Tamandua tetradactyla: one gene and its partners. The protein of the gene in region 4 purifies or fractionates together with the protein of the main gene of each other region. This does not show direct contact. Links are inferred from orthologs where the notes say so. Each region holds a gene or a part of one and is shown on either strand. Other genes may lie near its edges. The genes, in order: SMARCD2, SMARCD3, ARID2 and BCL7C.

Region 1 (7,785 bases), on a different chromosome or scaffold from region 4:
TCCTGGTGGCTGGGACTAAGGGCTTAAGTGAAAGGAGAGCATGCCCACCATGAGCAGAAAGTATATGGAAGTCTCTGAGGTGACACCAGCAATCCCTGCTATATGTGTATGTGTTTTCTTTTTCTTTTTTTCAAGCTCTCAATTGAATGTGATCTACAGCTAGAGCCACTATCTGGAGGGAGGTGGGTCATCACTTTCCTTTTTTCAATAAGTTTCCCTATTTGCCCATTTCTGGACCTCAAATCCCCACTCCTCAGGCTCATCTGATGAGCCCTAAGAGTCAAAAAATCCTTTTGCTCCTCAAATCTTAAGTCCTTTTTCCTGGAGGTCACACTGAACATGGAAAGAGGACAAGCAGATCCTCCTGTTCCTGAACTCACCCGAAGTAAGCTGGGTTCTTCCTCTCCCCACCTACCTCTTTTTCTACTCCCTAGAGGAGAAGGAGGAGGAGGAGGTGATGATAAGAAGCTGATGGTGAAAGCGAGGGGTAAGGGGTATGGTATGTATAACCTTTTTTTTCTCTGTTATCGTTTTATTTCTTTTTCTGTTGTCTTTTTATTTCTTTTTCTAAATCAATGCAAATGTTCTAAGAAATGATGAATATGCAACTATGTGATGATGTTAAGAATTACTGATTGTATATGTAGAATGGAATGATATCTTAATGTTTTGTTTGTTGTTAATTTTTTTTAATTAAAAAAAAAAACAGCTGATGGGATGGGAAGCCCTGGGAAACAGAAGGTCAATGCCATCCCCTAGGTCCCCACCACGAAGCCCAGGAGACCCACCCAGCCAGCTTGGCTTTGTCACAGGCCCAAGACCACTCCCCACAAAACATCCTTACAGGGGCTTTCCCAAGGGCATACTTCCCATGGGTTGTATGCCAAGGGAACTGGAAAAATCCCTATCTGCTTCCAGGTCCCTCCCAGGCAGAAGGCCCACAGGGAGACTCACACCCAGGTCTCAGTGAATAGGTCCAAGGGCTGGAATAACTGATGTCGGGACTGTTCAGGGACATCCTTGACCCCTGAATGCCCAAGGGGGAGGGTATGATAGGAAAGATAGACCCTAGCTGGAGGGTTTGGAACCAGGTCTATCTCTGTCCCAGACCCAGATCTTTTATTTTATTTGGGGGGAAGAAAGAGGATAAAAAGTGAGAAACATCACTGTCCCCAGTTAACCATCTCTTTAGAAATTGAGGGCCATGGGGCCCTGGTGGAATGCACACTCCCTACTCCATGAAGCTCCATTTCTGGGACCTCTGCCCAATGACTTGAGGAGCCCCAAGTCATTGGGGCTTTGGGAGAAGCCAGCACCGAATGCTGGGGCACAAGAGTTGGGATATGGCATTGTCAGAACATGAAGGCTAAATGGAAGTGCAGGTGGCCAAGACAAGGACAGACACAATTTCCAAGCATTCTGGTAATAACCTGAAACAATGGACTAGGGGGCTGATGAGACCCACCAACAGGGTCCGGTAGAGTTCTTCACACTGACTCTAAAGATTGAGGCTTCTCAATAGCCTTTGGAACTGGAACCTGAGAAGCTCTCTTTCCAACGCTCAAAAAGGTCAAGGCAATAGGACCCTTTGAGGCAATTCTCCCAGGATCCTCGGCCTTAGACTGGCAGGGTTCAGTGGAGCCGCTCTGCTCCTCCAGACTAATCAACTCCTGGACACTATGGCAATAGGCAGGAAGCCAAAAAGAGAGTCTTCCAGGAATGGTCTGTCACTGGGCTGGGCCTCTCTTCTTCCTCAGGCCTGGCTGCCACCATCTCTGGTCTTGGGATATCCCCAGTAAACACTCTACTCTGACCCAGGAGTAGTGTCTCCCTCTGCACAGGGGTGAAATCCCTTACTCTAACCTCAGCCTCCAGGGACAGTGAAGTCAGGCCTTCCTTATCACTAAGCAGCTGGGAGCCATCTCAGACACAGTGGGCCAAGGGGACAGGGGATGCTAGAACGCTGCCAGCTCCCAACCAGAAAAAACAAGACAGACTTGGGGTGCGACCAAGGCCAGTGTAGGGTAACTCTGGTTGCTCAGTGAAGGCCCCTGAGACTCCCCTTTTCCAAAACTTTCTCCTCACTTCCCAGGACCTTTATACGCTAGGATCTACACTAGACTTCTCAGAACCACCCACCCACACACCATTCCTCCACACAACTGCTCCACCTCCCAGTTACCAAGTAGAGTCTTTACCGAGGGAAGGCCCCAGGCCCTCCCAACTGTTTCAAACGTTCCACCCCCGAATCCCTCTTAAACCTTTCCCCAAACTCCACCACCATCTAACCGCACCCTGAGGGTCCTTGGCCTTGTCTTCCACCATGTCCCACGAGCACCTCATGCAGAGCCTCTGTGCCTTTGCCCAGCAGGCTTCCCCAGGGCCTCACCCGGGGCCCCCGCCACCCCTGCCCGCAGCGCCCTCGTGGATCTGCTTACCCACCCACCCTTCTCACCTGGTACGGCGCTGCAGGGCCCGCGGGCCCCATGGGGCGGAAGGCGGCGGTCCCAGGGCCCCCCACGCCTCCAGCCGGCCCAGGTCCCCTGAGCGCTGGTCCAGGCAGCATGCCGGATCCCGCGGGAGGAGGCGGCACCCCCAGGGCCGCGGCCACCGCGCCGCCGCCGGGACTCAGTGGGGGCAGCGGGAACCCGCCCGCGCCACGGCCCGACATCGCTCCGTCCCCTCCGCGGTGTCTCAATCCGGACTCCGGGCTGCGCGCCGAGTCCGCTCCGTGCTCCGCGCTCCGGGACTTTCCGATCTAAATTCCGGATTCTGCTAATCCGGGTACTGGGGTTTGTTGATCCAGGTTCCGGGATTTACTAATACAAGTTCACGAGTTCCTCACTGACCGGATTTGGGCCCCGGCCGATACTGATTCCGATCCTGTCTAAGAAACTCCGGATCCGGGATCTGCTACGCACCAGCCTGCAGTCCCCGGCCGCCGCAGGTTTGGCCGCGGGAGTCCGGGGGCCTGCAACTCCTCACCCCGCCCAACCCCGACCAGCACCAGGCCCCGCCTATGCCTAGCCGCCCAATGCTTGGATGCCTCCTCAAATCCCGCCCCTCGCGAGAACCGCCCCTAGCAGGCACCGCCCCTAACCGCCAGCCCCGGCGTCCCGCCCGCAGCCCTTGATCCGGCCCTTCGTCCGAGGGGCGGGAGGGGAGACGTCGCACTGAATCGCCGAGGAAAGCGCGAGGGTCAGAGATCGAAGGTCATGAACGACTTCAAGAGTGACTGAAGAGTGAATGGGGGAGTACTCTAGTGTTAACCGCCTTACCGAATTGCCCGACCATATTCCATGAAAATAGTTTGTCATGTCTCCTTTTTACATTTTCAACGTAAAAGAACTCAACCGAGAGCTGCCCTCTGGGGCAGAACAGGCTGCCAAGTCCATTTTCTTAAAAAGCCCTTCCTGGTGGCCCGGAGCTGCCAAGGGATATCGGTGGTTCCAGACCCCATCCAGCTGTGTGAATGGTTTGCTTGGCCAAGCGTTGAATTTTTATCGCACATTTTAAACATGGCTCTGCCTCACTTTAAGGAAGCCTACTATTTTATTCCACATAAATTTTTTCTAGGTGAAGGAAATTTGCGTTATAAAAAACCACCCTGGAGTTCAATAAGGTGTTTCTCTAGTTTTCTTTAACACTTAATTCTCAAGAACTCAACACCTTTTCAGAAACTACTGTCTTGTCTTAGTAGGTATTAAAATTGCTTTTGGTTTCAGCTGCAACAGGGAGCCTGCCTTGGTGGTCTGGGGTCTCTTCACCATGTTACAAATCCGCGCATCTCAAATTTTGAGCATAAAAAACGCGTGGGGTTTGTAGATTATGGTTCATTACGTCTGGGGTAGGTCCCAAGATTATGCATTTGTAATAGGCTGTCAGACAAAGTGTGCTGTTGGGACCACACTTTGAGTAGCCAAGATAGAGACTTTCACTATGTGGCCCTCTAACCTGCTTTGTTTTCATCTCCAGCCAAATGATAGCTTCCCTCCGAGCATCAGGGTAGCCCAGATCCTAGTATGGTACACTCCTTCAGTGCTTTTTAGAAAGGTATGCTGATCTGTACCTCCTTGTATCTTTCCTCCAGTAATAAATCTGGCTGCTGCTGTTTTCCTGCCTCTTAGTCCTCTCAGAGATCCCGCTCCTCATTCTCCTGAAAAGTTGATTTACCTCCCAGCCTGGGGACATGCCACAGGAACTGTCACAGCTCCAGTCATTGAACCATGGCTCCTCTCCCCAGCCTGTAAAGTGGATTAAGAATTCATGATGAGGCAGATTACGTTGTTTACTTCGAGTCTTTCAAGCTTGTTGAACAGTTCTCAACAAAGTGGTGGAGAATCAGAATCTCCTGGGGAGCTATTCCAAAATATTCCTGCCTCCCTTCCATGCCTACCATTCAAATCCAGTAGGGGCTGTGGGAGGAGACTCCCAGTATTACATTTTAAAAATAAACTCCCCAGTAATTCTGATATGATCCTCCTTGTAGAGAACCACTACTCTGGAAAAGAGGCAAGCTAATAAATGCATTTAAAAACATAAAATAGGGCGGTGCGATGGTGGCTCAGTGGCAGAATTCTCTCCTGCCATGGGGGAGACCTGGTTCATTTCCTGGTGCCTGCCCATGTAAAAAAAAAAAAAAAAAAACAGATAAAATAGTTAAGTGTAACCAGATCCAGTTAATCCTCTGCCTGAACTCTCCCTAGTTCCCCGTGCTTAGATCGATTGCCACACTCCCTACCATGCACATAAGGCTCTGCAGGATTTGGCCTCATTTTAAATCACCGCCTGGTGTTTTCTAAGCACGAGCCCCAATGGTACTCTTGCAGTTTCTCAAACTGGCAAGCCGCTTCCCACCTCAGAATCTCTACTCACAGCTCTTCCTTAACTTTTCTAAGCTCTCCCCTTACTTTGTTTACTTCCCACATAGTGATTATCACAATGTGTAATTACTTATTTAAGTATACTCTGATTTACTATTGATCCGGCTCCCCCACTACAATATAAACTCCATGAAAGTGAGAACTGTGCCTCTCTTGATCAATGTCATAAGCCACTCAACAAATGTTTGTGAACAAAGGAATGAGCTTAAGTGTAGTGGGAGAAAATGGTAAACATATACAGCCAGAAATGAGTTAATTGCTGTGAAAAAATATCCTCAAGGAGCTGGGAGGCAGAGATAGCGGAGGGATTAAGAAAAATTTCCTAGAGGGTAGACTCAGAGAATAGCTAACATTTATTAAGCATATGTGCCTGTACGTATTAGCTCATTTAATCTTCAAAACGTATATGAGGTAGGCACTATATAGGAGATAGATATAATTTTTACCTCTATTTTACAAATTGAGGCAGAGAGATTCAGTAACGTGCCCACCCTCACCATGATGGTGCTAGAATTCAACCTGGTTCCAATTAGGCTCTAGAATCCACAACCCAAGCAATTAACCATACATAATATTTATTACCTCTGTTAACAGTCATATTTCTAGTCAGTTATTACTTGCAAATAGTGTTCAAACTAGAAAGTAAGTGCCTTGGGGACTCAGAGAAAAGGGAATTGATTAGTATCATAATCTGGTCCTGATTAACCAGAAAATGTTTTCTGGAGAATTTTGTTTCAAAGAAAATACCAGAGGTAGTCACTCAACAGGCAAATAGGGTTTGATATCTCCCCTTGGGACAGTTCAGGAACTTGTGAAAAGAGGTGATAAGTTACCTCTGAAGACCTGATAGAGATGGGAGAAAGGGAGAGCACCTCACAAAACCTAATGATGCAGCCAATTTCGGGACTTGAAACCATGGAGGCAGCATTCCTTTGTTCCCAAGGCTTGGAATATCTTTTTTGCTTTCTCCTTTCTTCCATCAGTATTTATTCTTCTTACAGCCCACGTTTTGGTGATTCAGTTAAACAACTTTTATTGAGGCCTCCAATGCTCCTAGTCTTATACTCTAGAGGATGGGCTTTCTTATAACTTGGCCCTCCTGACCCTGTTGGATCTACAGATGCTCAAAGAGACTGAAATGGAAGTAAAGTATTTAATACAACCAGAGCCAAATACAACAAAAGGACACTTCCCAGTGTGGACTCTGTGGTTCCCTGTGGTGGGAAAAATAATCCCCAAAGAGTTCACCAAAGAAAGACATTGGGAACAAGATGGCCTAATCCGTCCCCCAGAGCAGGCCAGCAGAGGATCACTGCTCACTATGGAGGTCCCTTAGGAGGTCAGAATTTCGGGAGAAGCAAGGCAGATAGTCAGGTCATGGCAGAAAACACTTGCCAAGATCCAGCCTTGCTGGGGTCATACCAAGAGCCTGTCTCCATTGAAGCATCCACCTCCCACATGGATGTGGTGGTACAGCAGGCCCTGGGCACAGCCCAGCCAAAGTGGCAGAAGGGCTATATACTACGGTAAAACAGCCTATTTAGCATTTGAGAAATATTTACAGCATGTGAGAGCAACTTCCATATGCCAGTCCTTGACATAGTCTAGTAGAGAAGATACATGTATAAATAAATAATTTCCTTATGTGATAAAGATATTTACCAGGTGCCATAGGAAAACAGAGATGGCTTTAATGGGGAAAGAGATTAGTGAAGGCTTCCTGCAGGAGATTATATTAAGGAGGTTAAGAGTCAGTTAGGCAAAGGAGAGAGAATAAGGACTGAAGCCAAGAAATAGTACATGGTGAGGAGAATTAGAATAAGTTTGGCTGAATTGTCAAGTATAAGACAGGGAGGAGCTCCTCTGTGTGCACATTATGGCCACATAGTTTAGAAGGTAAAATACCTGAAGACTAGAGACTTCCAATGGTGGGAGCAGGTACTTGTACATAAGAAGTAGGCTTCAGATCAACACTCTGGAGCCAAGGGCTGGGGCATGATTCTCCAATTCATTCTCTCCCCAGAGAGAACCAGAGTTCCAACACATTCAGAGACCTGGGTGACACTGTGGTCTCAGTGGCCTCTTCCTGATCGCTTTGGAAGTCACCTGAAGAACAGAATACTCTGACATCAGACCTGCTCAGAGGTGTCCTCCTGGTTCTCGAATTTGGACCCAGAGCTGCTGACAGAGCTAAACAACAGGCTACTAAGATAGAAGAAAGATAAGGAAAGGAGTCTGTACAGGGATCTCTCCCTCCCTTACTGGTCCCTAAATACCCATAATACCCATGGCCTTGTGATTCCATCCTTACCTCTTTATTGTCGAGACAAACTCATCTACTCCCATAACTTCAACTAATGCCTATTTTCTGATGACCCTAAATTTCTTAATTTCAACCCTACGTCTCTCTTGAGCTGCAGATACATTTTTCCAACTCCCTGATAGTTGTTCCATAGGAAATTTAAACCCATCTGTTCAAAATCAATATCTCATTTTTCTTACTTCCAGTCTGCCTCTCCTCCCTGGGCTTCATCTTGGTTAAGCCATGAAGACATGGCAAAAGGCCAACCCTGCCTTGCTGAGACATTCAAACTGGTCTTGCAGGCAATGGAAAGCTAAGAAGATGGAGTGACCCACCAGATACGCAGGGTAGCTGAAACCAAAAGCAAAAAGGAGAATAGAGTGAGCCTTAAGGACCTTCATTCTGCTTTTACTTGAAATTATATTTCACTCCTTCCTCTCCTTCTCTCTGCTCATTCTTAGTCACGAAGCCCTATTGGTGTCACCTCCTAAATCTTTCTTGTATTCATCGTACTGCCGTAAGTCAGGCCCTCAGCATCTCTTCCCTAACCCTTCTGACTGGTTTCTCCAGTTAGGCCATCCTATCCCAAAGCCCCTACCA
Region 2 (7,124 bases), on a different chromosome or scaffold from region 4:
AAGCCTACAGGCACATGGGCGCTGCTCCAGGTCTTGGAAGAACCGTGGGGACAGCCAGGGGGTTGGGGGACAGGAATGTGCCATGATACCCCTTGTCCGATCTTTCAAATGCCCTGTCTGGAGGCTGAAGGAAACCCCTCACTTCAGGTGGAGGATTGGGGTGCAGGCCCCCCACACTTCCAGGAGCTGGGCATGGAAAGGTTTAGGCCAGCTTTGGGTCAGAGCTACCTCTGGGTGGTTTAGTGATGGGGATGAGAAAGGGTTCTCTTTCTGCTGGTTCTAGGCAGAGCCTAGAGGTTTTAAGAACGAAGAAATGCCAGGGGCCAACCTGAGAGCTCCAAGTGGTCTCACTTTACACACGCACACACACCAATCAGTGAGGCTAACTTTATCCAATTAAGGAAAGCTATTGCTGGGGGTGCAGGAAAAGCGGTTGGTGGTGATGAGTCTCACCCTGTCAGTCCTTTCCTCCCTCAGTCTTTATTTCCTTTGTTCCTCTCTTCCCCTCTCCCTTTCTCCCTTTCCCCCTTCCCAGCTTCCCTTCTCTCCTTGTAGTCTCCCTCCTTACATTCGCTCAGCCCCTTCTCCTCCCCCTCCCCCTCCCCCTCCCCCAATTCCCTGAGCTCTGTCCCAGTAATGGGACTTCCCCAGAAGCCAGGGAGCGTGCGGACCCAGGGCTCAGGCCCTAGGCCTTGGTGGCCATCTTCCCGAAGGGAAGGAGTTAAGTCTTTCCCCTGCATCCCTCCTCCCCCTCCAGCTCTCTCCGCCGCCTTTGAGTCCTGCAGCTAGGCCCTGGGCTGACCTTCACCGGGAGGGAGGCCGCAGTGCGCATGCCCAGGCCGACTCCCGGCCGGCTCCCGCAACTGCCGGGGGACCCCGCGGTTGGGGTGGAGGGGGGCGGCGGCTGCCAGGCCGGGACGCGCCCCCAACACTGCACACCCGGGCTGCCGCTGCCGGCTCTGGCGTGGTTCGGGAGGGGGTGGGGGAGAAGGCAGCCCCAGCCCGTCCCGGCAGGCCGCGGCTACATCCTTCTCCCTGCGTGGAGAGAGGCGCTTTGCCATTTGGTGCTGGTGGTGCTTCAGTGAGGGAAGGAGAGATGGGGGGACGGCAGGGGGGACTCCGGCTCTGGGCTGCCGAGAGGCAGCCCAGGCGAGCCCGGAGCCTCTGTCCTGGGTAGACAGGCAGTTGGCCCTCTCCTTAGACACACACAGGCACTCTCCTACCCAGAGCGCTACTTGGGCCGGACAGGGAGTGAGATCCCCGTCGGACTGGGAGGAAGGGCCGTCTCCCTGCTTGAAGCCGGGCTTTTCCTGGGCCTGTGTGGAAGCCGGCCGCGTGTCCAGCAGTGGTGACTGCTGGAGCGTCCTTCTGGGCTGAGCTGCTGGGGATCCGGCCTTTGTGAGGAGGGAGCCCTGGCTGGGTGTGCCCCAACTGGTGTCTCCGCCCCTGCTTTCTGCTTTCTGGTCTGAAGACTCCCCTGAGCCTGCACACCTCTGGTCACCTTTGTAAAAGCGGCATGTAAACGTGTCTGATGGCGGTGCCTTGTAAATTCGGGCTTTGTGAGTGTGATATGGAGGTGGTCAAGGTGTGCCTGTGTGTGTCAGTCCTCTTGGCTCCTTGTCTCTTTGGCATTTGCATTAGCATGAGTGCTTGGTGTGTGTGTGTGTGTGTGTCTGTATGCATCATGTATTTGTGGTTTGTGCAAGCTTAAGGATCTCTCCCAGAGGGGTGGCAAAGCCAGCAGGGGGTGTGGAAGAGGTTGTGATCCTGGCATGGCCCAGGAGGGGTTTGTCTGTGGAGGTGAGTGACACCTATCACCTCCTCCATCTCCTAGACTGATGAACTGCCTATCCTTGATTCTTGATCCCTGGGGTCTCCCCAACCCCTTCACAGGTGCTGGGGGGCTCCCACCTTTGTTCATGCCCCACCCTAATACTTCCCACTTGCCCAATAGGGAGTGCCCATCCCATCTCCTCATACTCCCTTCTTTTCCTCAAAAGGTCTCTTCCAGAGTTGAGAACTTTGAGCTTTACACAAAGTCTGGAGATGTCATACCCTCTCATCCCCCAGAACCTCCACGTCCTGTGGTCTAGCTTTCTCATGCTAGAAGTTCTCACAGGGCCTGGGGGTGGCTACAGTGACTCTCACACCCTGAAGAACAAGGCAGAGTGTGATCTTGGTCCACTGAATTTTTAGGTGGTTTTGAGCATCATCAGGCATTTTTGTATTATTGAATCCTGGTGCCCAGGCATGGGAGTGAGAGGCCAGTTCCTTACTTTACAGAGCTGTAGCATCACTGAGGAAACCAAACCTAACACACATGGAATGCAGGGCACATCAGACATTACTTAATCCAGTGTCAATTCATGAGGCAAAGTAGATGAGCCATGGGCAATCAGAGAAGAGAAAGATCAGGGATGTCTTCCTGGAAGAGGTGGGGCCTGCACTGGAAAGGATGGGTATGATTTGGACAGGCCGAGGGGAAATGGAGGGCATTCCAGGCAAAAAGAATACTGGGAGCAGAGGGATGGGAATGAGTCTGGGGTTTTGGAGGTTAGTGGGAGACTGGAGCAGAGAGAAGGGTGTTGCTGGGGTGTGGCTCAGAATGCCCCACTCCAGATTACCAGCAGCCACCTTTATGGGTGATGGCGGATGGAGGCAACCCACCCACCCAACCCAGCCTGCCAGGGACAAGACATTCTGTGTGTGTGGATTTGGGGTGAAGCCTTGGAAGAGATTTGGTAGGAAAGGGATCTCTAGGACTCCTGCCAAGCCTGGGGTGGAGGACAGGTGTCCTGGACCCAGATGCTTTCTGTGGCCTGTTGGGGGCTTGACAGTGGACACACATATGGACAGAGGCACCCAAGAGCACAACCAGGGCCCAAGGGAAATCAAGCTGGGCAAATACTCCCTTGGTTTTCCTTGTCCTGAGCTCTGAAGGCATTCTGAAGGGTTTGATGGTCAGGACCACTTCCCACCTCCAGTGTAATACCAAGTCTTCAGGACCTAACTTCAAAGAAGTTTTCCAACCAACCCTCCCAGGCATTGCTCTAGCCTCATGTGGATTCTGGCAGGGCCGCCCCTAGAGGCCTGTCAACTTGATAGGCTGTTGTCCCAAAGCCTGTGGGACCCACAGAAAGGAGAAGAGAGGGTTGTGGAGTCTAGGGGCGTGGGGGGGGGGGGCGGGTTCCCCTCCTGGGAAATCAAAGGCTTTGTTCTTCCTGTTTCCTGCCCCTCCTCCAAACCCCGGGCTGCCTTCTCCCTCCACACCACCCCTCCTGGGGTTCTCTCATAACCCCAGCCTCTCCACCCCAGCTTTCTTTGGGGTCATGAGGCTGCCCCCACCATACCCAGCAGCCCCAGCTACTCCAGGTCCCCCACCCCGCACCCAAGCCCTCCTTGCCTCATTCCTGCCACCCACCCTTCTGTGCACCCACCCCCAGCGCCTTCCCTCACATTTTCTCTCCCTGTTGTCATGAGCTTGATCCTTGTCCCTCTTTCCAAAATATTTCCCCTATTACCCTCACTTTCTCTCAGAGAGACAAAGACTCATATACCCAGAAATAGACTCACAGAGAGCTGAAAGACATAGGCCCATGCACATACATACACACACACCAGAGCCTTTCATAGAGAGACACACAGAAAAGGCATCTGTCTGTTGTACACACAAATAACTGTCCACACCCACAGCCACAGAGTCTTGCCCACACCAGGACACAGACACACGCAGCCATGGGAGACAGGGTCACATACATCTGGGGAGAGGAGGACATCCGCCTGCCCAGGCATACCCCACCGCTGCTCCTCACCCTGGGGCAGGAGGGAAGGCCTCCTCCGGGCTCAGGCTCTCCCCAGATTCCTTGCCAGTGAATGTTTCCGTACTTGGCCTGCCAGGTCCCTAGGGAAAGGGCCTCAGAAATGCAGCAGGAGCAACTTGGTGGGGGGGGGGGGATGAGTTGGAGCTGACTGTTCCCTGCCTGGCTCTGCCGGTGAATTCCCTAACCGAGAAACTATTTGTGGAGAAAGCTCCGGGTGGCCGGCGAGCCCCCTCTGCCACCTCCCCTCCCCGTCCCCACCCCCTCGCCAGCCTCCCCGGGCCCCTCCAGCCGGCCTCCGGCTGCTGTGCTGCTACCCCAGCGGCCAAGGAGACAGTATTTTCAGTTTGCCTCCCCGCTTATCTGCGCTGTTTGGACAGCCAGCTTTGAAAAGGCAGGATTTTCTGTCCCCGCCGAGTAAACAGCCAGACCCCGGGCAGCCCGGACTATTTCTGTCTTATCAGTGCAGGAATGCGGCAGCAGCGGCGGCGGCGGCGGCGGCAGCGGCAGTGGTGGCAGCAGCTGAGCAGGAGTGGCGTGGGCCGTGGGCCGTCAGGGCAGCCCTGAAGGGGCCCCCTCCCCACTCCGCTCTAGTAGAAGTGTGAGAGAGCCCAGCAGGACTCAGAGGGGAGAGTTGGAGGAAAAAAAAAAAGGCAGAAAAGGGAAAGAAAGAGGAAGAGAGAGAGAGTGAGTGAGAGGAGCCGCTGAGCCCACCCCGATGGCTGCGGACGAAGTTACCGGAGGGGCGCGCAAAGCCACGAAAAGCAAACTTTTTGAGTTTCTGGTCCATGGGGTGGTGAGTGGGGGAAAGTTAGCGGGGGAGGGTGAGTGAGCTGGCTCTGGCTGAATGGAGGGATGATTGGGAGGGGCCGGGAGGGCGCTCCCTTGCTCTCACCCCTCTAGCTGGGGGGTGCGACGGCCCACGGCCCAGCCCCAGGATTGTGCCAGTGCCCCTGGCACCCGAACACGTCACCAGGCGGCTGGCAGGGGATGGGTGTGCAGGCGGGAAAGGGAGAAGCATTTGCATGGGTTCTTGTCAGGGGCTGGGGGTGGGATTTGGGGACTATCCCAAGTGAGGGGGCCCCCTCTGAATCAAGCATGTTGTCTTCTATTCTTTTCCTTGTGGGCCCAGGTGTTACCTCTTCCCCATGGGGGGGTCGTAGTGGGGGGCATGGCATTGACTGGGCTGGGCTGTCTGGTCATAGGTTGGGATGGTGTCTCTCTCTGATTGTGCCCCAGGAGCAAGGAGCAGGTGACCCTGGAGGCACTGTGAGTGGGAAACTCTCTGGCATGAGCAACCGCTGCCTCCTGACAGGGGAGCAATGGGGCTTTGCGGCTGGCCTCTGCCATCAGGCTCAGAGAGAGGCCCTCTGTAGGGACAGACCTCCAGCGAAGGGGTCTGAGGGTCCCTTTGGCAGAGTCAGTCACCACAAGCTGATGTTCTCAAAGCCTCAAAGGTGTGAAGGAAGGGCTAGAGATGGGGATATGAGGCCTAGAGATCAAAGGGACAGAACAGCCCTGTCCTGCCACAGGAGGCTGTGAAGGCATTTAGGGGGGCTAAGGGAGACCAGGGAAGGGGACACTTGAGCTGAGTCAGCAGAAGACCAGGTTAGGAGAGCTTGGGGAAGGTTGTGGGAATAGGGTGGGGATGATTCAGGCACTGGGAGATGGCAGGGGCTCCAAGATTTGGGATAGGTGATAGGGATGGAAGCAAAGTATAGAGGAGCAGTCAGGATTATTATGAACAAATTTGGTTAGGACCCCAAAGCCAGTACCTTCTCAGTTGAGGGTGGCCAGTCTTTAGAATCTTAGCCTTCTGTGAAGTAGCCCTGATGGCTGGCACAGTTTTCTGGGGGTCTCTTCAGCAGATCAGTGGATATCCCTGGCCTTGATCAATGGGGAATGCACCTGATAGGGAAGAAAGGGCATCCCTGGGGCAGCCTGTCCTCCAGCTCCAGGGATCTCTGGGGGTAACTTCCCAAGGGTGTGTGTGTGTGTCCACCAGCCGAGTTCCAAGTCCCACCCTTGCTGCCTGGGGAGTCCCTTTAAAATGACCCATCTAGGAAGGAGAGAGGCTATTAATGTGGATTTTTTGTTATATGACCAATTCAGAGATTCAGTTCTTGGGTGGCCGAGAGCCCCACAGCCCTACTCCCAGGCCCTGACCTATGCTGGTGGGGAATGGTTGGGTCTGGGCCCCATTCTGTTCTGCTACCCTGGAGGTGTGAGTGACAGGGTCAGGTGGGGTGGGGGAGGCAGACACATGAACCAGCAGGTTTCACTGCGGGAGAGATGGGCTGTGACAGCTGGCTGGCTGAGGGTAGGAGGGGCATTAGGGTTAGGGAGAGTTGGCATTTGGAAGGGGAACCTCAAGCCCAGGGTTCAGGCTCCTCCTTGTGTCTGGTGGCAGCTGTGCTCCCGGGGGGTGAAGCGGGTACTGTTTAAATGATAACAGGGGCAAGGCTCCTTCCTTGCTCTCCTTGTCCCAGTCTCCATTCCACCCACTCTCTTCCTTACAGCCCCTCTGGCCCTGCCCAATCCCTCTTGTGGAATCTGGACAATTGGGTTTTAAAAGCCTGCGGAGCACTTAATTTGGACTCGTTTGCATCTCATTTACATCCCATCTGACCACCCAGGGATAGTGGCAAGAGAGTGATTGCTGCCTCATCTCCTTCTCCTTGGCCTCTTTTGAACCGTCTTGTGGCTTGCACTGGGGGTAGTAGTGGGAAGTGGAGGAGATCTGTAAGGATAGGGCCATCTCTGGTGAGCTTGGTGGGTGGGAGGGGAGGGAAAGATGTAAGATCTAAGGCTGGTGCTTTGACCTGCCCAAAGTGTGCTTGGCATCCCCCTTCTAGGCCAGCTTTCCCCACTCCTCCCAATCACAGAAGGGTCTGTCCTCAGCCCGCAGCTTCTCACAGCCGAGGTTGCCTCCTGCCCTACCTCCAGCCTTCATCTTGGGAGCAAATCATGGGTGTGGGCAAAGTTAGTGAGGCTGAGGTACCTGGGTATGGAGACTTGGAATCAGCCTAAAGGGAATGGTGTTTGGGGTTGAGGGGTCAAAAGCAGGGGGCCCAGAGAGATGAGTGGGTTGAGATGAGAAGAAGTAAATGCAGTGCTGATCAGCCCAGGAAGTGAAGAATAGGAAGGAGGGAATAAAAGGAGGAACAGCAGAAGTCAGAGCAAGGAGCTCAGCCCCTAACTTGAATGAAGCAGCAGAGAGCAAAAAAGACTAGGTCCTGGCAGGTATTGCCTTTGCTAGGATGAGCTGTGTGACCTTGGTGACGCTGCTTTTCTCCTTGAGCCACA
Region 3 (7,312 bases), on a different chromosome or scaffold from region 4:
TAAATATCAGGGGTAATTTTAAAATATAGATTTTAAACCATCTAAAATCTAAAGGATAAATCTGATGAATAAAACTAGAACATGTATTTAGCATCATTCCTCTCAATATTATATTGGGATATTATAATATTTCCATGCACAATGGAAACGAGCAAGTGAATGTCACCATAAATACAAAATTCTATACTTCTCACCCCATTACAAAATCAAGTTTGAGCAATTGACATTGTTTGTAAATTTTGCCCTTTATTTAAAAATATACTGAAACACATGCCATCACAAAAACAAAACAAACAAAAAACAAACAGCAACTAACCCTACTTAATAGTTTCTAGACTTCTGTATAACTCAGTAACTACTCCACAAAGTTCTGTGAACTCTTCAGCTTGAAGTCTGAAGTCACTCTAAGATAGCCAATAGAAAGTGCACCTGTGCAAGTTCTGCATTTCCTATTTCAGAATGCTGAAAATGACACACAATAGTAACTGTGTATTTTGAGCAGTAATAAATGCAAAACCCAAAGTATGCAGAAGCCACATTACAAAAAAATAGCCATTGTGTAAAATCACTATTAAAAAACAATAAACCAAAGGGTATTATTTTAGTTTTGAATAACAACCACCAACTAAAGGACGCTCTATGGATAAACAAACATTAAAAAGAAAAGATGACATAATAAATTACAACATGAAAATATTCCTAGAATAAGCGGGAGGACAAAAACCCCTAAATCACAAAATCTATCACATACTAACTGAATAAGAAATTTACTCTGCTAAATAAGGAGTCGAAAAGAGGGAAAATAAAAAAATTCCAAATCACATCACACGTCACAGTACCCCTTATTTTCCTAAACATATAATAATCCTTTTAAATATTAAGTCATTCAACATTTTGAGGAAAGATAATTCTAAAATCAATCCTGGTCACCTAAGGCATCAACATGTTAAATGTAAATACCAACTTAAAAACTACTCAATGGCATGGTTGTGTACTCAAGGTTTCATTAAAAAAAAAAATCTTAAAGTCATAAAAAGGTAAAAGAGTTTCCAAAACAAAGAAAAAATTTTCCCAAGGGATACAAAGTTTCATTAACTATCTTAACTCTTATACTAAGCATCACCTTTCTGCCCCTTGGTGGATATCGAACAATCAATAACAATGTCACAAAAGAATATTTACCAAGAGTGGGGGTGGGGTGTCACCTGTAAAGTTTTCATATGAAAAATGTAAACAATTCTAAAATAGGTGAGGAAAACTTGCACCTTCCTACAATCACACTTTATTGATAATGTTTCTTCGAATGAAATAAGCGATTAGAAACTGTTTTGTGTGCAAGGCTTTGTTTTGTTTTGCTAAAAACAAATTTCCCCCCTTATTTCCAAATACTGTTAAAGAATCACTACTACTTACCGCAAGTAATACTGTTTTAAAGCAAAGGCAGCGTTAGAACAACTTCTGGGAAAGTTAAACTCTTCAACAATTTCTCCCCACTGATTCTTCTCAGAAACCTGTTAAAAACACAGGCATACTTGCTTGAAACTGCACAATCCAAGAAAACCCTGACTTAACTATGAAATAAATACCCATTCTACAGAGATCTGGATATACCTAAGTCTTCGGTGGTTATTTCGGTTCGAGCCAAAAGAGTTACTATGCAAGAGCTGTGTGAATCACTGTTTTCACCAGAGAGCCCCGTATTTAATAGCACTTGTTTTGTTTGGGGGGGGGTTTGGTGGGTTTGTTTTGTTTTTGAAGCCCGGACAATAACCAATCGCAAGTCCCTCTGTCGCCCCCTTTTAAATCTCAACGCGGTCCGTTTACACTAAAAAAAAAAAAAAAAGTTCAAAAGGATCAATACCGTTCCGGACAGCGACGTCCGCGGGTTCTGGGGGGGGGGCCGGGCCCGGGGCCGATTCCGATCCCTCTCCCAGATCTATCCATCTCCATAGGCCCTTCTTTGAGGCCTACAGCTTCTGCCTAGCCTTGAAGCCTAAGATGGCTATTTGGAGACAGGTCCTGGTTTCTTTTGTTAGCCGTATAAACCGAGGGCGACTGGGCCGAGGCTGTGCCCCCGGCTGCCGAGATCATTTCGCAGCCGATTATCGATGTTAAACCTGCCCGCGCTAATTTTGAGTTGCACGAAAACTGCTCTCAGAGTCTGTGTGTCTCTGTGTCTCCGCCTGTGCTAGAGCGGCAGCGGCAGCAGAGCTGACGAGCGAGCGAGCGAGCGAGCGGGCAGGCGCGGGCGCGGGGTTCCGGCGGGCTCCCCGCTCGCCCGCACTCCCCGCCGTGGCGCGCCGACCCCGCCGGGCGGGCCAGGCACCCGGCAGGGCGCGAGCCGGCGCCGGGCCGCCCGCCCGCCGGAGCCCCGCGCCCACCGCGCGCACGCGAGCCACCAGGCCAAAAACAGCCCCGCCGCCGTCCGCCTCGGTGCCACCGGCTGAGAGCGAAAAGAACGCCTTTTGCCCCCGCGAGTCAACCCCCCCAGCCCCGAGCGCCCACTCCGGGGTCAAAGGAGACTTTTTGGAGGAGGCCAGCGAGAGGGAAATACAAATTAAAACTTCCACTCACCTTCGCGAATCCGCCTAAAGTAGTGACTCTGGTGTAGAGACCGTGAAGATCCAGCTCCTTCCCACCCACCGCAGGGATTTTTTTAAAAGGCGACCTGCGAAAGAGAGAATGCCCCGCACTTGTCAGCCGGGACCCCACACTCGGCCGGGGCGGGAGAGCCCCGTTCGCCCCGGCTCGCCCGGCACTGCCCCCCCGGTTCTGCTCTCACCCTCTGCTGTGGTGGAACTGCCGCAGCTCGTCCAGGAAAGCGAGTCCCTTTCTCCGCTCGTCCGGAGGCGCCTTTCCCGTCGAGTTTGCCATTATTTTTTCAAAGGAGGTTTTTAAAAAAACCAGATCGGTGTTTTAAAAGCGTCCCCCGCTCCCTGCGCTTCCTACCAGAGCCCGGAGCCCATTCCTCGGCCGGCGGCGGCGGGGCTCAGTCATGGGCCGGCGGTGGCGGCGGCGGCGGCGGCGGCGGCGGCGGCGGCGGCGGCGGCGCAGGGAGGGAGGGAGGGGGAGGAGGAGGAGGAGGAGGGGAAAGAGGGAGCAGGAGGCCAGGGGGAGAGGAGGGAAGGAGGGAGGGGAATTTCTAAAAAAGTTTAAAGAAATCGGAGCGAAACTAGAGGGACAGGCGAATGCCGGATCCGCGCGAAGCCGCGGGGCGAGCGCGGCCCCCACCCCCACCCCTTCCTTCCCTCCCTCCTCGCGGCCCGGCTCTCGTCCGCCTCAGCGCCGCCGGCCCAGGCGGCTCGGCCCAGGGACGCGATTCAACATGGTGCTGCTGCCGTGCGCGCGCGGGCGGGCGAGGGGAAAGGCGAGCGGACGGTGAGGAGCCGGGGCGGTCAGAGACCAGGGAGTTTCGGCGACCGCGGCGGCGGCGGGGCTGGGGCAGGCGGGGCTGGGGGTGGGGAGGGGGAGGTCTGTGTGGTGGTTTGTGGAAAGCGGGGTGACAGCGTATATTCCGGCCGCGGCTCCGCGGGGCCCTCGCACACATTCACGCGCGGCCTCGGCTGCGGCGGCCGGGGCGTCCTCAGGCAGAAGGCACCCGCGGCGGCTGAGCCGCTGCGCGCCGCCCGCCTGCTTCCCTCCCCGCCAGCCTCCCTCTCTTGTCGCTGCCAGCGCCGCCGCCACGGCCCGGCAGCCAGCGCCGCACAGCGACCCCCGAGGGCCGGCCGCGGCACTGCACCTGGCTCCACACCGCCCCGGCAGCTCCTCGCGGGGAACAATAGACTCGGCTCGCCGGGCTTAGGGTTCATCTGCAATGTGCCGCACAATTCACACGCACACAAAGCCGACGGAAAGGGGGGCGGCGCGGAGAAACGGCCACTACCGGTTGTTCAGGGTTAGGGGTGGAGGCGATGTTCGCGTCCCCGACCCGGCTATTGAAGGGCCGCCTGGTAGTCACTGCCAGTCGGACCGAAGCGGTGAGGTGCTCCGGAGGGAAATGAAACTCTGAGGGACAGCTCCTCAAGCTACGCAACATTCACAAATTGGAATAAAGTCAATTTGTTAACTTTTTTCCCCCAAGTCTAAAGGAATCGGCTTTTCTGAGCTTCATATCAGTATTCTGGAGCCTGGTTAGCACATTTTCCATGAATTACCCACTAACTTTAGCAAACTATACATTCGGTGGAATGCTCTCAATTCATATCATCTTTCGTTGGTTTCACTTATCAAAGTAGATTAATTCTACAATCATAGTTATAAAACAGTAAACTGGTTGGGATGCAATCTTTCGAACTTTGATAACGTTTTTATTTTCATATTAAGACATCTCAAAAACATATTTAAAATATTTTTCCTTGCTTTCTATCAAATTCCTTAAATGCAACCCTTGTTTAAAATATTTTGAAGGCTTAAAAAAAAAACTTAGCTTAAATGGGAGAATCAAACCATTTCAACAACCACCACTACCTAAGTCTATATTTACAGGGGGTGTTGCAGCCGGCCCCTTGCTACAAATGCCAAGTTTCACAGTAGAGCAACGTATTATTCCCATTTTAGTGGTGGTCACTACGGACAAAGTCCTAACCCAAGGTAGTTTGTGTCTGGAAGGATTATTATTCCAGGTAGTCCAATCACGCCGATGGGAACATTTATTTGGTGGTGAAAAAAATTATGTAATATAGCCCAGAATGCTATGCCTCTGGTGCTCACTTTAGGAATCGGGATTATTTCCCAAGAAAAGTTTCTCTCTTATAATGGGTTCGAAATAAAGCTGTAGCTAGGAAACTCCAGACACCCCAGGGCCTGTGGGGGTGGGTGCGGTGAACCAGCCAAAGGAGGTCGAGATGCTGGGCAGTGGCCCAGGCGGGGAGTGGGAGTGGGAGTGGGGGTGGGGTAGGAGGGAGAGACCCGGTCATCTGTCCCTTCCCCCACCGCCGGTCCTCTTAGGGGTGGTGGAGATGTGGGCCGCAGATCTCCGCGGCCCGGCTGTGCGGATTCCCTAAACGTCGCACTTGCTCACGGCCCCTTACGTAACTGTCAGCGCCGGGGATTCCCTAAAGGGGGTCATTCTATTCAACCATTACACACACCCAGGGCCCCTGCCGCCGCCGCCTCACAAAATGGCGGCGCCCATAGAGGAGACAGCAGTCGCTTCCTCTGCCCCATTTTGTGGGAGGCAAGAGACCCGTCAACATGGAATACCTCCGCTGAGGACGCATCGAGTTCTGAAATCTTGCTGAAGGGATGGAGCCAAGAGGATCTCCTTGGTTGGGAAATGCCAGCGGCTTTTAGCACCTCTACGCTTTTTTATTTTTTCATTTTCTCGAAGGAAGAGTCAGAAGCCGCCGGCGTAATTGTATCTGATGGGAGAAGGGAAAGCTGCGGCTGCCTGCTCCAGAGACTCAATAGCTTTGATTGCTTTTCCACATTCCTCGGCAGCAGACTGCGATCCAGTGGAGGGTCGCCTGGGCAGTCCGGCTGTCTTGTATGGGACGGGAACGGGGCGCATGCGGAGCGGACAACACCGGGCCTTGGCAGCGCCACTTGTGCAGACTTTCCGGTAGTTTTTAAATGCTAGGGATCACGGCCCAGTCTAGTCGTCTGAGTCGTGAGCTTCGGGAGTCCCGGAGGCCCCTGGCCTGGGAACTCACGTTTGCGCCGGGAGTCGGGTTGCCGGCGGCGGGCGGTGCTGTCGAATTCCGGTGGCCGAGGCGCACCGGGTCATTGCTGACCGGCCCCGGGCCAGGGAAGGTGCTAATGGGGCTGGAGTGGGAATGAAGGCATGTACGCTGAAATTTAAGTCTTCCGAGTCAGGATTTAGGGTTGTATGTTAGGTTAAACCTTAGAACGTTTTTCTAGTACCAACTATTCAGTGAACGGTCTAGATTTTTTTTTTAATTTCTATTTCGAAGGACAAAATGGAGACATTTTATGTTTTTACTTTTCAAGGAGAGATTGCCACTTTTAAACCACTAACTGCTATTAACATATGTGTATGTAGACACATGCGTATACAAAAGTATGTTTTGCTTTTCAGCGCAGGATAAAGATTTGGAGTTTTAATGTATCTTAAGAATTAAGATTTGATATGAATTGTTTTTTTATAAGAAATAAAAAAACTGCTTTTCTGTAGAAGAGGCTGTCATCGTCAAAATGGAGTCCTTATGTATATCTGATAGAATTTAAATTCCTAACACTTGGACATACTCTGGTCAAAGTTTTAAAAACAGAAACATAAAACTTGATGTTTATCTGATCGCTACCTGGTTTAATTTCCCCCGATTAGAAAAATGTAGGACGAAGAAGCTAAAGAAATGTAAAGGTTTAAAGAAAGACGAGATTCATATGATAATACTTAAATATGTATTGCATGCATAATTGATTTTGTGTTGTTTTCCATTATCAGCAATCATTTGTGTTTGCATGACTCTTTTGACTGAGGTGTTTTTGTTTTTGTTGATTTTGACCCTCTATTCCTTTCTAATGCAGAACTCCAGCTTTCTGCTCCCTCCACCTCCATCACTAAGTTCCACGCCCCATCTCCTGCAGTACCCCGTTGCTACTTTGGCTTTTGGATCACTAAGATATAGTTTCTGGTCCTATCTGTTCCTACTGATGTCCTTTATATTTAATATGGTTACCACTAATCAGTCTGTGACTTCGAAAAACACCCTATCTTAGCAACCAAGTCGCCAGAGAGTTTTTGTTTTGTTTTGTTTTTTTTATTGGTTTGCACAAATAGTAACCCTAGTGCATAGTATTATATTTCTTAGTACCATATTGCATTTCCTATAGTGGGCAGCATAGAGCAGGTGGATCTTGGGAAGGAAATGTCAGAGATGTACTGGCAGCTTTACAGCAATAGATATTCTCCAACTTACTTGATAAGATATGTAATTCATAGTTTTCAAGTATTGATGAAAACTATTCCTATAAAAAATTACCAATAGCAGTGAAAACTGTTGAAATTCAATAGTATAATTTACTGTTCTGATGAAAAATGACAAGACTTTATGGTAGGAAAAATGCAAAGCATTGGTTTTAATAGTAACTGCAAACCTTGCACATCATAATTACAGGTTACTGTTATTTTATGTTCATCTTTGATTCTTGTAAGTTTCGCTATTATTTAGTCAAGAAGTTGTGATTACAAGTTCTCTCACTCAACTACACTTAAAAAAAAACTATACCCAGTATCAAATGAAGCATGTTAGATTATCACAACTGCAGAAACAACTTAATTGAAGAATTGGTATGTCAACTAATTAAAGAAATTTTGGGCTCTTAGGTTACTCTGAGGTTTAAAAGAATT
Region 4 (7,323 bases):
GGTACAGTGACTTGTTCTAGGTGGTCCAGCTAGGAAGCAGCAGAGCTGAAATTTGAACCAGTGTTGAGAGTACTACAAAGCTAATTCTATCTCTATTATCCCAGTATCAGCTGTCATAATTGCTATATTACTTTTTTAATGTTACCATGATTACCCAATGTCAGTTTAGCAAGTTGACAGGCTTGATTCCAAATTATATCCTTCCTTCAGAACAATGTACATGAGGAAATATCTACCCTCTTCCCAAACATATTAGGGGATCCCCATTCTCTGTAAAGGTGCCCTCTTGAGATGGAATTTTTGCCCCAGATTGAAACCCCTTCTTAGACTCTGAATATTCCTGCAAAGAGTTCGCAGATCATCTTATTCAGTCGCCTCCTTTTACAACTGGAGAGACCAAGGCCTATGGACTTGAGTCAATGAGATCACCCAGAGTCTAGAACCTGTGATCCAGACTTCTGCCTCTGATTTACAGAACCAAGGGAGCCTCCAAGCTGAGGAGGATGGCGGGGCATGTGGGGCACAGATAGGGGCCGCCTCCAATTTGCTGGGTGGCCAGAGACAAATTACTATTCTTCTTGGGACCCTGATTCCACAGTTGAGAAGCAAGGCTGAGAATGTGGGTGGTCAAGGACCCCTGGGCTCTTGCGCTTTCCAATGATACCCCCAGCATACCCCCTCCCCATGCCCACCCCCACTCACATACTCCTGGAGCAACTGTTCGGCATATTTGTTGAGGAGGCAGGCAAGGCTGTGTGTTTGTCGGATCTTGGCCTCCAGGTGAGGAAGGGGTGAGACTGAGGAGTCAGCCCGGGGCTCTTCTGGAGGGAAAGGCAGGGAGGAATGAGGGCAACCCGAACCCCTGTCCTCAGAGCTCTCAGGCTGGGCAGGGTCTGTCCTATACCAACTGAGGGAAAGTGACCTTAGTTAGTGACTGTTGGAATTTTACGTCCATTGAAGCACAGAACTTCAAATCAGTACGGGCTTTTAAGAAACAAGCCCTTCATTTTACAGATCGGGAAAGCTAAGTCCCATTCTCTCCTTGATCCCCCTATACCCCCTTCTTATGGGTACTGGGCGGCATCAAGGAATCGGCGGCTGGCTCTGCGCGACACACGCCAGAGGGTGGCACCCAACGGGAGAGAGGACTATTTTTCCCGAGATGCCTAGCGCGCCCAGATGCATGCTGGGGGATGTAGTCCTAGCCCGGCACCTCCCCCCCGCCCCCGCCTGAGTTTCCCACCGCCTGTACGGATACTGAGCTGCCTCGTCACTCACTATCTCTTGTGGCCCAAAGCCTTTCCCTCCCAACTCTATCACTCCCTTCGGCCTCCCAGCTCTGATTCTTTCCGAAGACCCAGAGGAAAGAACCCAGGCGCCAGTCCCTAGTCTGGACGCCAGACTTCCCCACAGAGGACTTGAACCGGTGGTCTGGCCTCTGAGCCCAAGTTCCCGAAACCGCAGCCCCAGGTTCCTATGAACTCTGGTGCCCGTTCCCTTCCGGCAGCTCACCCGCTGGTTACCAGACACCGGAGCCCCGCGCTCCTCCTCCCAGGTCGCTGCCCTCCCAGCCTCGGGGGAGGCGGGGACCCTGACCCCGGCTCCAACCCTTCTGGCCCCTGCTCCCCTCGGGAACCCGGCGTCAGGCCACTCAGCCCCTTACCCAGACTTCCCTCCCTCCGGCTCATGTTGGCCCCAGGATGATCCCGGTTCCCTCCACGCCCCCCTTCCGAGGTGAGGTGGGGGGAGAAGGGGTTAAGGGGTAGGGGCGTGGTTCGGGCGCAGCCAATCAGGGCCCAGACCCCAAACCTTCCCCCCCACCCCCTTCCAGGCAGGATTCTTTGGCCCTGAGCTCAGATCTTAGACTTTCCGAGAAGGGGCCCCAAGAGGGATGCCTGCTTGTTGGCACGGTGGGTTCCGGACCCAGACCGAGACCTGAGAGGACACAGACTGGGACCTGCGCCCCTCTGGAGGGAGAAGGCTAGAGCGCGACCTGGGACAGGGCCTGGGGCTGGGGTTGCTTTCTGGGGAAAGCTTGGGGGAAAGGAGAGGGAGGGTGCTGGGCTGGCAGGACAAGAATGTGCAGGCCTTCTCTCTTAGGGCAAAGTTGAGGTTGGGTGGCAGTGTGAGGACACTGGGTGGAGCGAAGGAGGCCATGCGGTGGGAACCCTAGGGCTTGGGGCACACATGCCCAGACATACTACTTTTGCCCTATCTTAAATGTGTTCCACCTGGTCTGCAAAACCTTATTGTCATGCTGATAACCAGACTCCCCCTCCCTCAAACACATTCTGGTTGTCACACCTACCTGGAGGGAGATGATACCCCATCTCATCTCTCCTCACTAGGCCCAGAGACAGAACTCCACCGACACATACACATGCATCTACTTAAGGGTTAATGCATACAGCCACTCATTCTTCCACAGGAACAAACCTTAGAGGCAAGTACAAATTCACCAAGCTGGTGCAAACAAACCCTGAAAGGTCTGCACACACTGACCTATCTTCATGATGATTACCAAAGACCTACTCTGTCCAGGGCCCTGGGACTCAGAGATGATCCATACCAGTTCTCTGTGCCGTGACCAAGGACAATGACAATAGCTGGCAATGGGGTTATTGTAAACAAAGCCTGTGTTTCTGTGAGGATGTTAATATAATCAGACAGTGGCCAGGATGAAGGAAGAAAGGAATTAACTGGCAGAGGGTACAACAGGTGCAACTGAGGCCAATGCTTGGTAGCAACCTCAGGCACCCACTTATTCATAGCTCATGTTTATTGAGTGTTTACTATGTGCTATACGTGCATTAACTTATTTATTGCTCATAACCTCATAAAGTAGGTAATATTATCACCCCATTCTATAGATGAGAAATAAAGGTATAGAAAGATGCATGGCTTATCCAGCATTTCACCTCAGATCAGCAATTCACCTCAGCAATCTGCCTCCAGAGATGCTTTCCTAACAACCTTACTATTCCTTCATCCTTCTGGATACAGCAACACCAGAACTCAGATCCAACAGCCACGACCTGGAAACACACACACACACACACAAAACACAAATTTAGACATGGTCATACTTCCTGACAAATAACTTCAAGTAACACCAACAGACACACTCATTTTTTTTTAGGTAAACTTTTCATGGAAGTATAATATACAGGCAGAAAACTGCACATATCCATACAGTTCAATGGATTTTCGCAAAGTAAACACGCCCAGGGAACCAGCATCAGATGGAGAAACAGAACATGACCAGCTTCCAGAAACCTCCCACTTAAGCCCTCCCAGACAACATCCCCCAATTATCCTGTTTTCTCACCCCATTAATATACCTTTGTGGATTTTTGAACAGAACCATACAGCTTGTACTGTGTCTGGTTTCTTTCACTCAAGATTTCCTTCATGGGACTTGTTTCCATTGTTGGGTGCAACAGGACATCAATTACGTTGTTGCTGTATGACATGGTATGAAGAGGATACTTTTTTTTTTCACTCATTCTCCCGGTGATGGACGTTTGGGCTGTTTCCAGTTTGGCATTATTATGAACTGTACTATGAACGTTCCAGTACGCGTCTCTGGGTGCTCATACCAAGGCATTTCCTTTTGGAAGCTGATAACCTAGGGAGTTGAACCCCTGGATCACAGATAGGGTTGGCATCTGTTCAGCTTCACCAGAAACTGTCAGTTTTCTAAGCGGCTCTACCAAATGACACTGTGCACCCTCCCGCCCCCCACTCCAGAAATATAAGAGAGTTCCAGGTGCTCTACTTCCTCGCCTACACTTGCTAAGGTCTGTCATTCTCATTTTAGTCATTCTGGTGGGTGGCGCCGTAGTTGGCACTCAGTAACTTGGGTAGCGAGCGTGGTAGATTCCTTCAGGCTGGCCGCACACATGCACACAACACAGCGTGTTCAGGGACGCCACGCGCAGCGGACGTACACCGGGCCACGGACACTCGCGCGCACCCCGGCACCCACGTGGCCTGAACGCACCGCCTCAGCCCGGCCGCGCGCTTCCAGGCGCCGACTCCCCAACTCTCCCTCTCCGCAGCGGGCAGGGGGCGCTGCGCGTCCGGGCGTCCCGAGGGGGCGGGCCCGGGGCGGGGCGGGGCGGGCCGGGCTTCCAGGCCTCCAGTGTGGCCGCCCGCGCCACCGGGCCGCTCCGGGGCCGGGGCGGGGCGCGGCGGCAGGAAGCGGGGCGGGGACTCGCGGAGGCGTTGGGGAGCGAGGGAGGGCGCGGCCAACTCCCGGAGGGACGGCAGGCGGAGACAGCGGCTCCCCGGCCTGGCGCCGAGCCTGAGCCCGCCAGACGGGAGGCGGCTCCGCCGCGGGCCCGGGCCGGGCCTCAGCCCTGCCAGCATGGCCGGCCGGACCGTGCGGGCCGAGACCCGGAGCCGGGCCAAGGATGACATCAAGAAGGTGATGGCGACCATTGAGAAGGTCCGGAGATGGTGAGCGCTGCAGCGGGGCCGGGAACGGGACATGGCGGGGCCTCCGCCCCATTATGTGTCTACACTCGCATCGCCAGCTGTGGCCTCCAGGTGGTAGGCGTGTCCCCCGGCTGTGCCCGGATCGACAGGGCTCTGTTGCTCTTCCCCTGATAGTAACCAGCCGGCCTCGGCTGAATGGGCCTTCGTTTGTGCCCCGCCCCCTAAAACTGTTACACCTCTTTCCCCCAACATGCCCCAGTATCTTTATTGCCCCATTCCCAGCTAAGCTCACAGCTGTACCCCTACATATGCCCCAAGGGTCTGCAGGGCCATAGTCACAGGCCATACCCTTTCTGTGCACCCCCATCTATGTTCTGGGGTCTACAGGGCTCTTTTTCTCCCCCAAACTATGCCCCATTAGCAAAGCTGTCTCTCCCCAATCTCTGCAGGTACCCCCAGATCTTGGGGGTCTCAACCCCTAGGCCTCTCTGACCCAGTTACTCCCACCCCCCCAACAGGGAGAAGCGCTGGGTGACTGTGGGTGACACTTCCCTTCGTATCTTCAAGTGGGTGCCAGTGGTGGACCCCCAGGAGGAGGTGAGCAAGCCCCCAGCCCCTGCATCTGTGCAACCTCAGACAAGGCCCTCCCCATCCTGGCCTCGACCTCCAGTTCTCGCTCTGAGACCTCAAATGTAGCAGCCCAGACAGATGGTAATGATTATTAGGCAGACCCCAGCCTTCCCCCACCCCCCCAATACCTTTTTTCCTGCTCCAGACATCCACATTCAGGATCTAACCCAGTGGACACAACCTCTTTCACCTAAGGCAGAGCCTTTTGCTTCTCTGTGCCTCAGTTTCTTTACTGTTCAGTGGGAGGTTTGCAAATTAGAAAGCCTCTTGGGGCTCTGACCCTTACTCCTCTAACCCCCAGGAGCGACGCCGGGCAGGTGGCGGGGCGGAGAGATCCCGTGGCAGGGAGCGGCGGGGCAGGGGTGCCAGTCCCCGAGGGGGTGGCCCTCTCATCCTGCTTGATCTCAATGGTATGTGGGGATTCTGGGACTGGGGGGTCAGGGGGAATTGTGGGGATTGGGTGAAGGGACTGGGGGCCTCGGGCCCAACCTTCCTGGCTTCTTGATCTCACAGATGAGAACAGCAACCAGAGTTTCCATTCAGAAGGCTCCCTGCAAAAGGGCACAGAGCCAAGCCCTGGTGGCACTCCCCAGCCCAGCCGCCCAGCGTCACCTGCTGGACCCCCGGAAGGGGTTCCTGAAGAGACTCAGCCCCCACGGCTGGGCCAGGAGAGAGGTAGGACCAGGTGCTTCTCAGGGATCCCTCCTCTGGGTCCTGTCCTCTTCAAAACAGAACTCACCCATGCTTACTCCCTCTCCTGTGTGGCCTCTGGAAGGCCTTCCCTGACTCCTGTGGAAAGTCAGCACCTACCTCTAGCTACTGTCCATTTCATTCCTCTGGCTTCTTAGGATTTGTAGGTCTCTTATCACCACGTGAACTTTTCACATAAATTTAATTTTTTATTACTTTAATGCCCTTCTCCCCCACTCCACCTGTCAGCTTCATGAAGCTTGGGTCCATAACGATCTTGTTCACTACTACAGCTATGGACCACCACGTGGCACACAGCATTTGCTCAATAAATATTTGTTGAGTGATTAAATAATAGCAATAATCATGAGTAATTAATAATGAAGATGAAGATAATAGTTAACATTTACTGAGCTCCTATTATGTGCCAGACACCATTCTAAGCACTTTACCCCATATTCATGATGTAGATATGCCCACTCATAGATGAGGAAACTTAGGTCCAGATGAGTGAAGTAAGTTGCCCAACCTCATACAGCCATGGCACCAGTGTCTTGGGCATGGGTCCTCCTCATCCCCTCACTCATCCAGTCAATCCTGTCTGGTCAGTACCACCTCCCAGACATCCCTGCTCTCCTCTCCTCCACAGTCCTTGCCTGGCCCTGGCCTTCCATCTCTTACTCACTCTGGCTCTTGCCTCCACATTGATCTCCTCTCCTCTGCCCTGGTCTCCTCTCTTCCAGTCACCTCAAAAGGCTGCCAGGAGAGGTGCAAGGGTAGTTCAGTTGTAGAATTCTCGCCTGCCATATGGGAGACCTGGGTTCTATTCCTGGCCCATGCACTTCCCCAAAACAAAACAAACAAACAAACAAAACAAAACACAAAAATTCATCAAATGGTGCTGCAGTAATGGGCTACTCATGTGGAAAAAAGAATTTAATGTGACCCCTGCCATACAGCATACAAAAAAAAAAAGCTATCAGGGCAACGTTTTCTAACCCACAGGTTTGTTGCAGTGGTTTCCCTGCTTCAAAGCCTTCAATGGCTCCCTGTGGCCTTTGATGCCTCAGCTTGGCATTTAGGGCTCTATATGAACTACCCCTGCTGACCTCATGGTCTTCCTCTGAGAACTCTGGGCCTGGGCCTGTGTGTGGATTCTGCCTACTTCGTTGCACTGAGGGCGCTACCTGTATTCTCTCATTGAATCTTCACAACAACTTCATGTAGTAACTGTGTTATCATCCCCATTTTCTGGATGGGCAAACTGAGGCCCCGAGAAATGAAGTAGTTGCCCATGAGTCAGGAATTGAACCTAGGCAGTTTAACCCCAGAATCTGCTTGCTAAGCATGTGTTCCCTCTGTCTAAAACGTGTCCCACCTTTCCACTGGCCAGATCAAATCCTTCTCACCCTTATCATCCCACACAAATGCTCCTTCCTCTGTGCTGCTTCCTGGACTGCAGGTTCACAGCTCCTTCCTCAGTGCTCCATGGCCCTCCGGCTCAAGTGACTGGCCCGTTTGTGTTTGTTTTCCCCAACTGGTCTGTGCTCCTGGCACAGAGTG

Evidence for each region.
Region 1: the proteins of BCL7C (region 4) and SMARCD2 purify together in Homo sapiens (affinity purification with mass spectrometry; 3 studies listed by BioGRID and IntAct, counting the BioPlex papers as one, with this or other methods). This does not show direct contact. The link is inferred for Tamandua tetradactyla from reciprocal best matches to the Homo sapiens genes BCL7C and SMARCD2.
Region 2: the proteins of BCL7C (region 4) and SMARCD3 purify together in Homo sapiens (affinity purification with mass spectrometry; 3 studies listed by BioGRID and IntAct, counting the BioPlex papers as one, with this or other methods). This does not show direct contact. The link is inferred for Tamandua tetradactyla from reciprocal best matches to the Homo sapiens genes BCL7C and SMARCD3.
Region 3: the proteins of BCL7C (region 4) and ARID2 purify together in Homo sapiens (affinity purification with mass spectrometry; 3 studies listed by BioGRID and IntAct, counting the BioPlex papers as one, with this or other methods). This does not show direct contact. The link is inferred for Tamandua tetradactyla from reciprocal best matches to the Homo sapiens genes BCL7C and ARID2.

What each region holds. Positions count from the first base shown.
Region 1 is NC_135332.1:5,011,496-5,019,280, forward strand, and holds the start of SMARCD2 (SWI/SNF-related matrix-associated actin-dependent regulator of chromatin subfamily D member 2), read right to left. Parts: upstream 3,011-7,785; 5' UTR 2,672-3,010; coding exon 2,456-2,671; intron 1-2,455. UniProt on the Homo sapiens protein: Involved in transcriptional activation and repression of select genes by chromatin remodeling (alteration of DNA-nucleosome topology).
Region 2 is NC_135327.1:195,192,463-195,199,586, reverse strand, and holds the start of SMARCD3 (SWI/SNF-related matrix-associated actin-dependent regulator of chromatin subfamily D member 3), read left to right. Parts: upstream 1-4,108; 5' UTR 4,109-4,536; coding exon 4,537-4,614; intron 4,615-7,124. UniProt on the Homo sapiens protein: Involved in transcriptional activation and repression of select genes by chromatin remodeling (alteration of DNA-nucleosome topology).
Region 3 is NC_135333.1:105,665,419-105,672,730, reverse strand, and holds the start of ARID2 (AT-rich interactive domain-containing protein 2), read right to left. Parts: upstream 3,012-7,312; 5' UTR 2,875-3,011; coding exon 2,783-2,874; intron 2,669-2,782; coding exon 2,575-2,668; intron 1,512-2,574; coding exon 1,414-1,511; intron 1-1,413. UniProt on the Homo sapiens protein: Involved in transcriptional activation and repression of select genes by chromatin remodeling (alteration of DNA-nucleosome topology). Required for the stability of the SWI/SNF chromatin remodeling complex SWI/SNF-B (PBAF).
Region 4 is NC_135349.1:23,599,676-23,606,998, forward strand, and holds the start of BCL7C (B-cell CLL/lymphoma 7 protein family member C), read left to right. Parts: upstream 1-4,306; 5' UTR 4,307-4,369; coding exon 4,370-4,461; intron 4,462-4,958; coding exon 4,959-5,037; intron 5,038-5,371; coding exon 5,372-5,480; intron 5,481-5,583; coding exon 5,584-5,745; intron 5,746-7,323. Other genes in the region: CTF1 (cardiotrophin-1), read right to left, coding at 703-821, 1,664-1,688. UniProt on the Homo sapiens protein: May play an anti-apoptotic role.